3 linked regions of the Solanum lycopersicum genome follow. The protein of the gene in region 2 interacts with the protein of the main gene of each other region in a pairwise test. Links are inferred from orthologs where the notes say so. Each region holds a gene or a part of one and is shown on either strand. Other genes may lie near its edges. The genes, in order: iron-regulated transporter 2 precursor, protein LSD1 and ethylene-responsive transcription factor 12.

What was found.
Region 1: the proteins of protein LSD1 (region 2) and iron-regulated transporter 2 precursor interact in binary tests that used the Arabidopsis thaliana proteins (3 or more experiments, as listed by UniProt). The link is inferred for Solanum lycopersicum from reciprocal best matches to the Arabidopsis thaliana genes LSD1 and ZIP10.
Region 3: the proteins of protein LSD1 (region 2) and ethylene-responsive transcription factor 12 interact in binary tests that used the Arabidopsis thaliana proteins (3 or more experiments, as listed by UniProt). The link is inferred for Solanum lycopersicum from reciprocal best matches to the Arabidopsis thaliana genes LSD1 and ERF12.

The regions. Positions count from the first base shown.
Region 1 is NC_090801.1:55,363,948-55,370,130, forward strand, and holds iron-regulated transporter 2 precursor, read left to right. Parts: upstream 1-2,579; 5' UTR 2,580-2,627; coding exon 2,628-3,230; intron 3,231-4,214; coding exon 4,215-4,364; intron 4,365-4,453; coding exon 4,454-4,759; 3' UTR 4,760-4,871; downstream 4,872-6,183. UniProt on the Arabidopsis thaliana protein: Probably mediates zinc uptake from the rhizosphere.
Region 2 is NC_090801.1:55,747,267-55,753,355, forward strand, and holds the start of protein LSD1, read left to right. Parts: upstream 1-1,848; 5' UTR 1,849-2,266; exon of another isoform or gene 2,267-2,549; intron 2,550-2,723; exon of another isoform or gene 2,724-2,726; 5' UTR 2,727-2,805; intron 2,806-2,968; 5' UTR 2,969-2,970; coding exon 2,971-3,082; intron 3,083-3,450; coding exon 3,451-3,561; intron 3,562-4,941; coding exon 4,942-5,054; intron 5,055-6,089.
Region 3 is NC_090801.1:58,882,526-58,887,368, forward strand, and holds ethylene-responsive transcription factor 12, read right to left. Parts: upstream 2,659-4,843; 5' UTR 2,409-2,658; coding exon 1,944-2,408; 3' UTR 1,715-1,943; downstream 1-1,714.

The sequences.
Region 1 (6,183 bases), about 380 kb from region 2:
AATGTCCTTTTTTTAACACTATCGAGCCACCCCTGAATAGAGCTATTCAAAACTTTTCTAACTAAAGTAATTCCTTATATAAGTTTCATAAGTAACTATCAGAGAAATTGGATCATACATATAAATAGAGTTATGAAAAGGAATCGGTCCAGACCCGATTGACTCAAGCTTCGCGGGTCAAGGATACTATATACGCGAGATATATGTATATAATGTGATGCATTTCAGATATGCGAGCCTGATGACATGGAAGCGAAAGCGCGTTATTTGTTGATGTATCCTACATACATACATATATCTAGATGTACCTAAATTTGACATGGATAGAAAGTGTCTAAAACAAGTTAACCTAATTTTAATTTCATGTATCATGATATACATATATCTAGATGTACCTAAATTTGATACGATTCGTAATATTACAACATATTGTACACTTAAATAATTAGTTCATATACTAGTGAGATTGCTATAAGTTACACCCTAAATAAATAGTTTTAGCCCATGGCTGACCCTGAGCCGACCCCAATCAGACCTTAATGACCAATGACTTATATTGGTCGGGCTTATTAGCGCTAATTTTGAAGGGCAAAGGACATAAATCACATACGTTTATGGAAAAATTACAATTTATCCCTTATAAGTTTATAATTACAGAAATTCCTCAAACTAATACAATAATATAAGCGCTGATACATTAAACTGATGCGCGAAATACATTAATTGTTAAGTAAGATACATAATATTTTATACAAGATACACTAATCTGGTGTACATTTTATACATGATACACTAATCTGATGCACGAGATACATTAATATGATGCTTGAGATACATTAATCTGATATTCAAAAATGATAGATTTTTGGAGATTTGTAAAATTAATAGGAAATAGTGGTAATAAGAGAATTTAAATGTGGAACTTCTGTTATTTTCCCAATTTCAAATGAGCTTGAAAATTTTTATCCTAACCCTGCTCCAATAATGGCTGATCCGATTCCATGCGCTAAACTCATTTTGACGGCTCTACATATAATACTATTTTAGTGAATAATATTTTTTTTGTTGATAGACATTCTCTATTTTATTGACAGAAAACTTTATTGTACCTAAACGTACGAAATATATAACTAATGCATCTAATTTAGAATATATCTCAAAGATGGCTTCTCATTATTCGTTTCTTTCTATTTAATTTGAGAGATGATGTCAATACAAGTTTTTTAAAAAGTTTTTTTCTGTTATACCAAAGTATTTTCTTACTAAGAAACAAATTTATGTCGACTTTGTTTTTAAATATCACCAATGATTAGCTAATTTTGAACAGTACACCTGCATTTAGAGAATAACTCCTTTTTTTTTTTTATTAATTATGGCTAAGTAAGCGTTTTATGATAAAGTAGTTAATTCTATAGATCATCTCCGTACGGGTGATGAAGGGAGAGGTAATTTTGGGGTTAATGTGTGCACTTGAAAGAAGAAGTTAAAAAAATATATATAGTAATAATTTAATTTTTGTCCCCATAATAGTTGAAAAAATCGAAAAAAAAAACAATTCCATTTTGTTAGCTTGAAAAGACTTTCTTGTTATGTTTATTTCCAATTATAGATATTCATCTTTCCTAAATTTACGTGAAACGATTAAATTTAAGAGTAAAATAATTTAATTTTTAATTATAAATTCGAACATGAAATTCCTAAGATTTTTCTGAATGAAAATCTACATATTTAAAGATCACGTGAAAAATACTACACATCACAATAATTGATAAGATATATAAAAATTATATGAATAATTTATTGTCAAACAAATACTTATTTAAATACGAAACGAAATTAAATCACAAAATTAATAATTACTCCTTCATCTCTCAAAAAATAAACTAAAATAGTACGTTCTAGTTTTTCAAAAGTCTCACAGCTGGCTTAGATTATGGAAGTACTATTATGATACTGTTTAAATTAACAGATTTTTGGATCTTAATTTATCATATATAAATTCCTTAAAATTCTCCAACGTATGTATTCCTTCGTTACCCTTTTTTTTTTTTGAAAAATAAAACATGAAATGTTATATTTTGTAAATTCCACGTATAGGATAAGAAGAAGTGGAAAATCCACTTAAAACTCGTTTGAAACACGTGCCTTTGTAATGCATCAAGCAAAAAAAATTAAATCATTAATCAAAACCACATTGTTTAGCGGGTATACACACATGCCTGCCCTTATATGTTAAAAAAAAGTAGCCATTTGTAGGTACATGTATTTTTTTTAAATTCAGGAGTTATAATCTCTCTGCTTCGAGTGACTACTTTATACGCCTTTGATAAATTCTCCACCATGTAATAACTCTTCGAATCACATAGGGGAATATTTTTTTTAAAAAGAAATTCTATCACTCTATAGCTGTTGGTACATGATATACATAGAAAATCATTCAATGTCATATTCTTCTTATTTAATATCATGATTTGCTTCCAACTAATTAATTTAAACGAATTGCTTTTTTATCTATCATAGCTTAATATCTAAGTGTGTATATATATCATACCTCTCATGTATCATAACCCAAAGCAAACAAAAAAACACATTCCTACTCAAAATTCAAAAACCTCTACATTTGCACAATGAGTGATTATAATTTCAAGCACATCGCCATCATCTTTATTCTCATATCAATTTTCATCCCTCGAGTTTTATCAGTAGTAGAAGATTGTGGAGCGCAAGAAGATAACTCATGTGTCAACAAATCCAAAGCGTTACCCTTAAAAATCATAGCCATAGTCTCCATCCTTATCACTAGTATGATCGGAGTTTGTCTTCCACTAGTCACACGTTCTATCCCGGCCCTAAGCCCGGAAAGAAACCTTTTTGTGATAGTCAAGGCATTTGCTGCCGGAATTATATTGGCTACGGGGTTTATGCACGTGCTTCCTGACTCATTCGACATGTTGTCATCGAGTTGCCTTAAGGAGAATCCATGGCACAAATTCCCCTTCACTGGATTTGTTGCTATGTTGTCCGCTATAGTTACAATGGCTATTGACTCTATAGCAACTAGTATGTATAGCAAAAAACATAGAGCTGGTTTGGTTAATCCAGAAACTGGTGGTGCTGATCAAGAAATGGGTGCAGTAAATGGTGGACATTCACATCATCATCATGGATCACTTTCCACTAAAGACGGAGTTGAAGGCACTAAATTACTACGATATAGAGTCATCGCTATGGTTAGTTTTATTCATCTTTTATTAATTTGGTCATTGTCCTTTACTAGGACACTAATCAGGTAGCATAAATGATAATTAATGGAATTGATTGATAGCAGCAAAGTAATTCGTTTTAATTGATTAGTGGGAAGCAAATCACAATATTAAATAAGAAAATAAAAATCGAAATTACACTTGATGAAGCCTAATGGCACTTGTCAGTACAACTTTAATGTGATATATTTCTTACCAAAATTGGAGAGATCTTTTTTCCTACTTTAATTATAGCTAAAACTTTTGTTAAATTGATTTAGTGTACATATTAAATTTTAAATAAAACAACTGTCCATCTAAATATGTACTTGAGAAAATATAATAGATCGAGAGGAGCCAAATCCACGTATTACTGCTAGTCTACTACTTACTACAAGAAGTTAAAATTTGTGTATATAATTAGTGTATATAAGATAGCTGTTTTTTCAAAAGTATATAAGATAGCTGAAATAGAAGCTTTTTCCTCCTTAAATCAGTTAGAATTTCGTATTATAAAACATGAATTACTTATCCTATTCCTACCTAATTAGCTAATTGATTCAATCAAAATATATCATTTTCTTTTTAGTAATGAGTAAAGATCGTGGTGAGTTGTCTTGATATATTGATCCGTACAATAAATAATATATTGTATGCATGCATTATTTTATTGAAACGAAACAATTCAATAAGGTGAAAGTCAACAACAATCTCTATTATTTGTGTACTTTAAATTTGTCCTATCATAGTCGATTTGTTTATGTATTACTACTAATAAATCCTAATATATCCACATCGTTTTGTCCCTTTGACTAAGTTTTTTTTTTTTTATGGCTAATCAATCGGTTCATCCATATTGATTTGAACTTAATTAAAAATCAACACAGGCCGACTAATTAAATAGCCTTAATTCTAACTCATTTATTCTAAATCATATATTGAAATCATCATAAAAATGTAATGTTTTTGCAGGTGTTAGAGCTGGGAATCATAGTTCACTCAATAGTAATAGGAATTTCACTTGGAGCTTCAAACAATACATGTACAATTAAAGGATTAGTTGCTGCACTTTGCTTTCATCAAATGTTTGAAGGAATGGGACTTGGTGGTTGCATTCTCCAGGCAAGTTTTCATTTTTTTCCGAATAAATAGTACCTATCATTAATTAAATATATATTACTATTATAGTAACTTTATTTTTTTTCATGCAGGCTGAGTACAAGTTTTTGAAGAAGACACTAATGGCATTTTTCTTCGCAGTAACAACTCCATTTGGTATAGCACTTGGTATGGCATTGTCAACTACTTATGAGGAAACTAGCCCACGGGCGTTAATAACTGTTGGATTACTGAATGCATCATCTGCTGGGCTTTTGATTTATATGGCTTTGGTTGATCTTCTTGCTGCTGATTTTATGGGTGACAAATTACAAGGCAGTGTCAAACTACAAATTAAGTCTTACATGGCTGTTCTTTTAGGTGCTGGTGGAATGTCTCTCATGGCCAAATGGGCCTAGCTTTGTTTTTTCATATGAGTCTGTGAAATACCTCCTTTATTGAATTGCAAAATTGTAATCGTGTGTACTTTTCAATTTCGTGGTTAAATTTGAACTGCTATGTATTTCCCTCACTTTAGTATTGTTACTTATGTTATAAAATAACTAGCTAACAAACTAATATTACTAAACTAAATTAAAAATAAGAACAGGTAAAGAGAGAGTATAATAATACGCCATATTGCAAACTTTTCTAATCTCTTCCTATGCGAAGAAAATATGTTATTTATAATCAATAGAAAAATATAAACTAAATACTTGATCATTGATAAGTTATTCATTTAGTCAAATAATTACACCTCAAATATAGATAATCTCACATGTCATTATATTAATAAAGTAAATGACGACTCTTAAAGAATGATCCACGTGTCATTTATTTAGTTTTACAATAACTTAATTGTTTTCAAGCTGTTTATGTGGAGTTTTATAATAGTCAAAGTCAATGGTTTATAATGGATATCCATTTGTAATCTACCAGCGGTATATTAGTATTTCGCCTGAATAAATTTAATTATAGTAGCACTCTTCTTTCAAAATGGAGTACTTCTTTTGCTCACTATTCTTTTGGAATGCATTTGGAATGGTTCCAAAAAAATTTAAGTGACGGTTCTGATACACTTTATTTTGTTGGTTTTTTTTTTTAGTATTGAGCTTACCTAATTAGTTCGAGGATACATTTTCGTTAATTTTTGCTATCACATTGTTGATCTTTTTCAATCTTTTTTGATACATGTAAGTTTAGATTTTTAATGTATCTAGTTGATTTTGAGTTTCTTTAACTAATGTAATGCTTTCGTTTCAACATCATGATACATTATAATTTTATCATATATAGTGTATTGTGTTCAAATATTAATTTTGATACATAACCTTAATTAGTATTGATACTTGATATCGTGTATCAACCTTTACATTTACCAATTTCTGAAACATCAATGTACTAGATAACTTGAATGTTGATTCATTCATGTATATGTTTGATACCTCAGTTGTAGTTAGTTGTTGATTCATTCAAGTTGTATTAGTACAATTTGTAGACAAGTTTGATTTAAAATTTGTGATTTTTTTGAAATAATCTGATACATACCTTCACTTTTGAACATTTTGTTGAGTACAAAGTATCTTCCGGCGGCTATTGACTAGACATTGCTTAAAAGATGAGTGATTATTTGAATTCGAGGGTGAGCTACTTCTTAGTGGCTGTCTTGAGTTCTCTTTTTGTACAGTCCATTCTACTCGGACTTAGACTAGTTCTTTAGATGATGAATCTTGTTAGAGTTTTGATACATTGACTTTCACGTTCTAGGGGTTGTATTTCCGCATTCGTATTAGTTCATTTGTTTAGTTCCTTAATAAATATTTTAGTAATTAAACCTGCTTGT
Region 2 (6,089 bases):
GTAAGTTTCAATCTCTTTTCATTTATCATTGAAATTATGTTATTACCTCTTCTGTTAAGAAAGGCATAAAACACATTCAAAAAATGCAAAATATGTGTAAGTTTTAGTCTCTTCCCATTTATTATTGAAATTATGTTATTACCCCTTCAGTTTAATACTTTTTGTCCAAAATTTTTTAAATATATTTATTTCTTTTATTTAATACTTTCATTATATCAAGAAAAGATAATTATTTTTTTCATTTTATACTTAACATTAATTGAGTTGAGAAATAAAAACATAAGACGCTTTCAACGAATGTAATATATGTGTAAATTTAAGTCTATTTTCATTTATTATTGAAATTACGTTATTATTCATTGCATTTAATTTTAATTTGTTTAACATTTTATATTTATATATATATCGGGGGCGTAGCTACCCTTTGGTGGACACTCTTTGTTAGAAAATTAAGCCGTATTAATAAGTAAAATAACAATTTAAATGGTTAAATAATATATTTTAGACACCCTTAAAAAACAATAAAAATTTCTAGCTTAGTGATTTTAATTGTTCAACTCTTACTAAGTTATTTTCAAGTTGCGGTGTGCAGATTCGATTCCCGTTATTTGACTTTTATTTTTTCTTTTCATTAAACACTTTTATAAAGTTTGAAAATAAGTATTTAATTTAAATTTAATAAGCAAAATCTATTTTTTTTCTTTTCATTGAAAATTTAAATAAAATTTAAAAGAAATTATTTAATTTAAAGTTAATAAGCAAATTTTATTTATTTATTTCATAATGCTACTAAAAGTGAAAATACTTTATATAAATTCTCTTTTAATATAACTCATTTGATTCTATTTTTTATTTTTCATTTCTCGTTGTTGGTCATCAGAGGTTTGTGAAATCTTGGAGTATAAAAGTGATTTTACTCTAAACTAAAATATCTTTTTTTTTGTTCGTTCACTCTTATGAGATAGATAAACGTAAACATTAAAGCTAAATTAGTATGTACTTTGATTTCAAAAATTTTGGTATATTTTAATTTTAAAAAATAATAATTAATATTTTGTAGTTTGATTTACAAAATTTAAAGACACTCATTTTTTAAATTATTTTTACGAGCTATAAAATTTTTAAATATCCTTCATAAAATTTTTAGCTAAGCTATTAATATATATATATTTATAATGTAATTTTACGACAAAAAATATCCAGTGTGACTGTAGACGAGGTACATATTTAAATGATAAATGAATTCTAGAATCAACTATTAAGAATTCTTATGGGATGACTAGAATACATATGATTAATCTTTAATAGAAAATTTTATGACAAATCTTGTGATTAAAATAATCTATCGTCATAATTTTTTTCTCTGTTGACAAAATCTCATCACTCGGTTCTATCTCTCTTTAATTTTTTAAATATTTATTTTTACGTAGAAATCTTTGATGTCAACAAAAGGAAAAATTATTAGAAAATATAAGTTAACGCGTTTGGATAAAATTTGACAAATAAATTTCAAAATTTACAGGAATACTCTCTGTTCCTTATTCAAAAGCCTTCTTCTTATTTAAAAAAAAAAAATAATAACTGTATTTTTAATTAATATTTATATTCTCTCATTTCAATTCATTTATTTTATTTTTATTTTAACACAATTTTTTTAAAAAATAACATTATTTTTTTCGAATCTCATTTCAATCTAATGCAGCGTAGCAATAGCAAAGTAAAAAACTTTGACTAGCTATGAACAAATATTCTTTTAAATTATGTGAATTGCGTATAAAATTAAATATGTAATTTTAATAGATAATATATTTAACTTCTATACATCACATATTAATTTCGGTAAAACATATATACGCATTATACCTTATCTAAAAATAGCTTCAGTTATAATTTTGCAATTTTAAATATATCATATAAAATTATAATTAAAAAATTATTTTATAAAAAATAAAATAAAATAAATAAATTGAAAGCGGAAGAATTTATTTTATTTTATTTTATTCGTAGACAGGTCAAAAGACATTTATTCCCAATATTTAACAAGAAGAAAAAAGGAGATGTAAGAAAAATATCCAAAAACCAATCTTTTGAAATCTTGAATTTACCCAATTTCTGTCGGAATTTTCGCTCAGATTTCCATTTGAATTCCAACCCATTTTCAGATAATCTCAAGTACCCTTCACTGTATATTTTTTTTTTTTCGTGTGTGGGGATATATATATTATAATAGAGGGGTACCCTATCTTCCAGATTTGTTCATTGACTGGTAAGAAGATTGCTTTTTTTTTCTTTATCCAATTTCTTGGGGGGTTTTCCCTTTTAATTTGGTAGGCTAAACATGATATTTTTTTTTACTTTTCAATCATGTTTGTGATGGGTGTAATTGATTGTGGATAAATTTTGGTTGGTGGGTAGGAAGAATTTGGGGCAAGGGCTCTCGTTTTGGTTAGCTCTAGAAATTACCTAGCTTTTTCTTCCTCTGCTGAGATTTGAACCTGGTTGATGAGCCACACTCATGGTTATGGGTGTTTGATTAAACAATTTTTTTTGTAAGATTTGTGTTTGACCCGTCTTAGCATGAAAAACTTGATATAGGAATTTTTCTTGTGTGTATAATCTGTGAATCCTGAGAAAAAAGATTGTAGCTTCAACCATTGGATGAATAATTATGAAAGGAACTTTCTTGAAGAAAAGTATTTATTGTTCTCTTTCATTTTGTCAAGCAGGAAGAATAAATTTACCTCACAGATCGGCAGAAATTAGCTCTTCTACCTCAGACGACTCGATATTCAAACAGATTGAAAGGTGAAACCTTTTTGTCTCAACAGAGATTGTTAAGACGAAGTTCATTGTTTCATGATGGACTTTTAGATTTATTACAATCTTGAGAACTGTAACTCAAAGATCATTTTGCAATTTAGTTTGTGAGCTTGCCATTACTATTTGGTTAATGTTTTTTGTTCGACAGATATGCAGAGTCAGTTGATGTGCAGTGGGTGCAGGACAATGCTTCTTTATCCCAGAGGAGCTTCTAATGTCTGCTGTGCAGTGTGCAATGCACTCACCCCTGTCCCACCACCTGGTATCTGTGCTTTTCTTGATTCTGATGTGGTTATAAGTACTTTTTTTTTTCTTTCAAATTTGTGTGGCTGATTTTTGGATTATGGCCCCCTTCCATGTTGATTACAAGTGTTGTTGCTAGAAGATTGTTGTTAGGAAAGAAAATTAGTGCACTTAAAAACATTTTGAGTATCTAATAGTAACGCTATGCTTGATGCTGACATGGTAAATAAAGCCATAAAGTGGGCTAGGTTTGGGGAGGCTTGGTGTATAGATCTGTTTGGATTGAGATGTAGTATTGTTTGTTGTTTTGCCTTGACATGGATTGAAGCGTAGTTGTTATTGTGTTCTGTTACTCGAAGGTGTTGCTTAAATTTTGATCTTTCTCAGGAATGGAAATGGCTCAATTGATATGTGGAGGCTGTCGTACATTACTTATGCATCCACGTGGAGCGAACAGTGTGAGATGCTCCTGCTGTCATACGGTGAACCTTGTCCCAGGTACAGTTTATAACATCCCTTCCCTTGATTTCGGAGACTAATGTTTGTCTGGTTATGAAAATCTAGTGTCTCTTTGCTGGAATGAAATGTTTCCTTCATTTGAACAGAATATGAATCTAACTTTTGATATTATCCACTTAAGCTTGACCTTCGGTTGTTTTCATTTATCATATGAGATCTTTTTCCTACATATTCATCAAAAGTTTATCATATGAGATCTCAAATTGAGATACCAGCATTTTTATTCTTGTATTACATCAGAAAAATCTGTTGGAAGAGTAACATTACTTTGATGATCTAACTATGTAATACATAAGTGAACATTTCGGTATGGTTGTGTTTTTAGTTGAACTATGTTATGACTTATGAGTTTAGAGTGTGGTCCCAGCTGAAATTCACAACTTTCGAGCACTTCAAGCTTTTGCCTGGGGGAAGGGAGCTGTATAAATTTATGTCTTTGTCAGACTTGGTGGAATATGGTTATGGGATCACCAAAAAGCTTCATTATTGTATGTTTGTGTTATGTTTTTTCCTATTGATGCTCAATTTATCAGAAGTTTTGCCTGACAGATAGGTGTAAGTCCAATTGATTTCTCTTGAGTGTGGTTATTCCTCGAAAATAATAACCTGATCTGGTGCTCTTTGTAAACTAGTAGCCAGTCACATAAGATATAGATATCTGCTGTTTAATCTTCTTATCAGCTTTACTTTTTGGTCATATCTGCTTCATTTTGCAGCACATCTGTAATTTGCAAACAGAACTTAGTTATGACTGGTAATTGGTGGATTTAACTTGGTGTATACATTTTTCTCCAAGCACATGTTCTTAAATGTCATTGACTAGTCTGTTCCTATGTGTCTTTTTTGGTTTTAAGAAGATATTACTGGAATCTATGCATGAGTAACCAGAGTGGGTGTATATTGAATTGTTCTCTTTCCTTTCCAATCTCAAAAGTTTTCTTTCCCCCTAGGTCTTCTATCTTGTTTATAGTGCTGGGAATATATTTTTTCATTCTTCCCTTGGTCAGAAGCTACATTATTTGAAGTTGGATGGTGGTCCTGAAGGCAACAACATTTGTAGGTTGACCATTCCAAGAAGTAAGAAATGTAGTGTCACAATGCTGATTGGGCACTAATGTTATGTGCAAAATCAGGTGCCTTTTACTAGAGCTAAGCGGTAAAGACAGATGTTTAAGATGAGATAGTAACTCATTGAATTTTAAGGGGACTATACCTGAATCATTTGCATGTTCTATCTTTCACTAGAATTTAATAGGGTAAAGAGCTACATGAATTGTTTGTGTTTGAGGATTTGTACATTCGATAGAGCTTAGGTTTCTTGTTACCTGGATGACATATAATTGTGCTGTCGATCTTCAGGTCCAAACCAGTTTGCTCATGTCTACTGCGGGAACTGCCGTATGATGCTGATGTATCCATGTGGAGCTCCATCGGTTAAATGTGCAGTATGCCATTATATTACCAATGTTAATGTGAGTATGATGATTCATTTTTCTTTTTGATCTTTGGTAAAAATTTTAGCTGATGCTTGGTCCATATAGTTAAAGAAGTAAAATAACAAAGAGGAATGAATTTTAAGATTGTGCTTTTGGTAATGAGAATTCTATTTTGTGCGTAATATAATATTTACTTACTTTGTTAGGATCAGAGAATAGCCAACTACCATATTGTCTTAGTTTAATTACAATTTAAAGTGAGAATATATATCAACTTGACTGTAAATAAGTGATAAAATGAGTGTATGAAAGACTTGTCTTGCATGCATTGGTTGGTGTAAACACCAGTGCGGGTAAGTTTTTTTATTTTGTTGCTCAAGGGTGATGCAAATCAATCAAAATGACAATGTTGAGCCTTTTATGTAAATAGTAAGATTTATGATATTAGAATGATCGGAATTGAAGAAGATAAGAAGGGAATAATTAGCACAGTGAACATGTTGTTGTTGATGCTTCAAAATAGCCAATTCCCGAGTCATTGTTACTCATGGAGAATTGTTGGGTTTGTCTCTGTTTAAGCTGCTCTTCTCTGGTTCTTCCTTCTCCACTTAATAGTCTGAACCTATAGGAATCAGTAGATTATAGCGATTAGCCTTGCTTCATATCATGGATTGTAAAGCAAGTAAATTAAATTGAAAATCGTCAGCACATTTCGAGGACTTTCACATAAAGCAAAGTGTTAAGAGTGGTTTAATCCTTATGAAAGTTTAACGGAGAAGGCTTATGTTGGAAGGTAAGTTTATCTTGAGCTTTTGATATCAGCATCATCAGCCCACTTAAATACAAACTTATTTTGAACTTTTAGTTGCAAATTTTAGAAGTTATTGATATCACAGATTGTGGAAAAAGAAGGGGTAAGTGGGTGAGTGAGGAAGCAAAATAAGGTCTTTTGGTTACTAGTCCATTGCTTATGTTATTTGCGTATGTATCGGAATACAACAAGAATATGCTCAGTGTAATCCCATAAGTGGAATCTGGTTAGTGTATACACAGCCTTACCCTTACATTCCG
Region 3 (4,843 bases), about 3.1 Mb from region 2:
AATAAGACAATTCACTACACTATTTTTATATGTCTGTCTTAAGCTTTTCTTTATTTTCATATTATATAATAGCCCCACGTACACCCCATTTCATAAAGCCAAAAAAAAGACCTCATCCATTAATAACCCCAATTTCTGGGGATTAATTTGTTGGTCCCCCCTCCCCTCGAAAACAAAAAATCAGATTCCTCTATACTATAATCTATTTTATGACTTATTTTATAACCTTACTATTTTTTCCTGGTACGTTCTCTCAATATAATGGACCCCTTAGCAAGAAATACGAGACAAATATATATTAAATGGTGTACATACTATTTAGTTATATTTTGTTATAAATAAGTTAGTATTCTTTCTTCGCAGTTTCATTCTGTCGTACAGTGAAATTTATTATTAATTGAAGTCGATTAGAATAATTGTAAGTTTTAATTTTTCCATTACAAAATCAACATGGACGTTGGATACAAAACGAAGTTTTGAGTTTCAACTTCTTAGTTCTAATATGTTAAGAAATAATGGCAAAGCCGAAATTTATATTAAGAAGGTTAAAATATTAAAAAATTAAACACTTTAAAAAGTTTGAATGGATCCCCTTACTTTCATATGGCTCTGCGAATAAAAGAATTCATCAATCTTCTAAGACTAAAGCGTTGAATTTTTACAAAAATGTAAAGTGGTATCGAAGAATTAGTTGCTGGTGTCCATTGAATTGAACTTATTATCAAATAAATTCATAAATTTAGTTTATTTCTTAAAAAATTCAAAAGTGGCACCGAAAGTTTTTTTTTTTTTTGGGCCAAAAATAAAGTTCGAGCTCTAATAGTAGTTACACTGATTTTCACCAAAATATACTTAAAAGTTTGCCTTTTGTTGATTGGATTTTGTACCCCATCCACTTTTTATCCATTAAAACCAATTTCTGTCAATCATCCACCATATTAAAATCTATTTAGCACTTCATGTCTTGGATAATTAATAAACTAATTAAGTTAATCTCTTACCAAAACGTACTCATCACAATCAAAATGGATCCCATTCGAAAGTAAATGTAATTAGATGAATAAAATTATAACTTATACATTAATGGGAAGTAGAGAAAAAATCTAAGCATGTATGCTTATCAGCCTGCTATAGTTAATATTGAAAGTAGATTTAGGTCAAAAATAATTATTTTTGCTGAGTAAATTTGTACTATTTAGGGACAATCCTTTGATACTATGTAAGATTTTTCAACCTAAGTTAGTTATTATTATAATAATAATAATAATAAGTCACTTTCTGCGTTTACCCTTTTTCTATACATAACTGGCCTAATTAATTGTAATGCTCTTTCATGCGCCACCTGAAAAGGTGAAATTAAATATCATGTCTCAAAAATCTACCACATCTCAATTGAACAACAAACAAATAAAGTTAATTTAATATGTCAAACATGTACGTATATTTTCACACGTGCAATCATATCGCACAGGTGCGAATCTAGAATGGATCGTGAATGTTAGTAAATAATTTACAAAATTTAATAATTTATGAAAATTCATCTCGATTTATATTCACACAAAAAAAATTTGAATAATATATATATAGGAACACAATTGTTGCGCAAATGTACGTTTTGGACGTATACATTAATTTACTGTATAAAATGTTTTTTTTAAAAAAAAATTAGACTAAAAAGTACAGACAAAGTACTTCAGTTTTATGATGAGCGTGGTACAAAAATATGGAGAATTTGGATTAATATTTAAATAAAAAGGGTATTTACATAATGATGTGCTTCCTCCTAATAATAACATTAATATATTTTCTTCTTTTTTTTCTACTTTTCTTCATAGAAATTACCTTTCTCCCAAAAGCTTGAAAATAGAGAGAATGACAAAAATGAAAAAAAAAAAACAAAAAACGTAATTTTACTAAGTCATTAATTATCCGCCGCCGCCTCCTCACATCCACAACGGCGGCGGTTCGTTCAAGTCAATAGGCAACCCACGTCTCACAATCCCAAAATACATAGCTGCAGCTCCAACATCGTTTTCCTTCGCCGGCGCAGCGACGGTGACCGGCAAGTTAAGTTCCGGCGGCGGACCTACTTGTAGAAACTCTCCAATCATGAGCCTACGTCCGGAGGGGGAAGTCCACCGGTGATCAGATGGAAGGTTGAGATCGAGTGTAAGAGGAGCGGAAGAAGGCTGCGGCGGCGGCGGCGGAGGAGGGGGGAAGTTTGTTTTTGCTTTAGCGCCGCGGAGTGAACGGGCGGCGCCGTCGTAAGCGAGTGCCGCTTCTTCTGGAGTGTCGAAAGTGCCTAACCAGACACGTGTTTTCTTCCACGGGTCGCGAATCTCTGCGGCGTAACGGCCCCAGGGACGCTTTCTCACTCCTCTGTAGTGACCCTCACGAGTGGAAGCCATGGAAATGGGGGAGGAGAGAGAGAGGGGGGGATTTAGAGAGAGAAAGTGTATGAGTGTTGTGTTTGTGTGGGGTTTTGGGAGCTAAAAAAGAGTATATTTGGGCAGCAGTAGTAAAAATAAAAAAGGGACCCACGCAGACACCCGTAATCGTCGGTTGGACGGCACGACCTCTCTCCTAAAATAGGCAAAATATTTAGGTGAACATGTGTTTGGTCGGAAGGAAAATGTTCCGAAATTATAAACAGGCTCTTAAAAAATGAACGAATACTTTTATCATTTCATGGTACTGTATTTTAATACTTATTTTTGGAGAATCGGTTAGTAAGTTACATAAAAATAATGTTAAATAAAATATAGTAATAATGTCTATATTAATTATATATAAAGAGAGATTTTTTTCTTATGCGTTTGATTTGATCTATTAAAAATAACATGTATAATACAAAAAATATTTATTTATAAAAATATTCTGCACTATTATACTAAAAAGCTATAAAAAGAATTTTGAAGGATAGTAGGGTCTTTACTCATACTAATACATATGTTAAATCATTAGCATTAATTGTTGTAGTAAGTTACAAATTTAGGGGCGAATAAAAATTAATTTTACTTAGCAAAACTTAAATAAATAAGAAAAATCATATATAGTAGGGGTATTATTTCGAAAGAGAAAAAAACTAGGTAGCATGGTATACGCCATTGTTTTGACATATCAAACTAAAAATAGGTGAAGTAATAGTTAAACATATGCGATTTCAATAAATTATTTTGCAAATAAACAATTATATATCTTATATTTTACAAATTCTATAGTCATGCTATAGATGGAATGATAAATATAGACTTTTGGTAATGGTAAGTCGGTCCTAAAAAGAGAAAATTTTCTTTCTCTCTTGTTTCTAAATTGCTTCCATGAGAAGCTACAAACTTCGATGAAGTAGTAGTATTTCTTTGATAAGATATACACTCCTGATTTTTCACAAAGGCAGGTGACAACTTTTAAGGAAAATTTACAAAGATATTGTATTTAAGACTATGATTTATAATATAAAATCATATTACATAAACATAATTATTTAATTTGATTTTAGTAAATACTTATGTCCTTCAACGTTGAATATGCACAAATAGATATTTAAATTTGTATAAAATAAAATAAGTAGATACAAATGTTTACATGGCACAATACATCTAGAACGTCATGTAGGACAATAAATTGCCATGTAAAGTATTATGTAGAACAAATGTGTTCATTTGCTTAATTTTATATAAATTTAAGTGTTTACTTGTGCACACCCAAAATTAAATGTCATAGTTTTCAACCGAGTCAAGTTAAGATTCATGTTTATGTATTATGTCTATATAAAATATAACTTTTCTTATTTACAAAATAAATCTTTTAATTAAAAATATGATAATTTAAATTAATAAATATTTTTTAATTTTATTTTTGGTTTTTAAGTCACTAGTGAAGTCGTTTGAAGAATTTGCAAGTTTGTTCTAATTATGGTGGATTCAATTAATCTTTCATTTCCACCCACGTTTCTAAAAAATCTCTTTCTTAGTATTGATAAAGATTAAGAAATAGCCTAAAGTCAAAATACAACAGGGGATAATATTTTTTAAAATCCAACTTTTAGCCTATAGTTTAATTCCACTGATGATAAATTGACGAACGTATAATTTACTTGCATCAAAATCACGTGGGTTGATTCGATTCTAGAAAAAATTATGTCTACAATTGAAGTTACTATTGAAACTAACATATTTTGAAGACAGAAACTATTTTAGCGGAGCAGCTGCACTTTATTTTTAAAAAATTAAAACATATTAATTGATACTTATTATAGTGTTTGACTAGGTATATTATTTGTTACATTTTACTAATTAAATTGCGTATTTTAAATCTTTTCATTTTTTTATATTAATAATTTTATCATTATTATTAATAATAATAATAATAATAGGCCAAATTGTTGGGTTTTCCCCCCTCAAATACCTCAATCACGTCATTTTCTTATTGAATCATTGAACCCATAATTTGTTCCGTTTAAACAAACACCGTTGTCTGATGTGGAACCAGATTTTTGAAGGATATTGATAGAGGGTACATATGTTGTTCCACGAATCATTAGTCTAATTGATGGTGAAAATATTTGAGAATAATTGTGTTTTACTTAAAAGTTATTTGAACACATTAGAAAACAGATGAGACTAGCATGATTTGTCTTCATTCCTTCAATCAAAATTATTACAATTCAAACACAATTAAAGACATTTACAATAGAAAAACTGATCAAAATTAATCAATATTGTTTTAAGAAAACAAATTATTAGTGTTTCAATAATTTAATTTAAAAATAGCGTAATTAAAATACATGAGAAAAAAATCCAAATAAATTTAAAAATAACAATATATTTTTAACCAATATTGT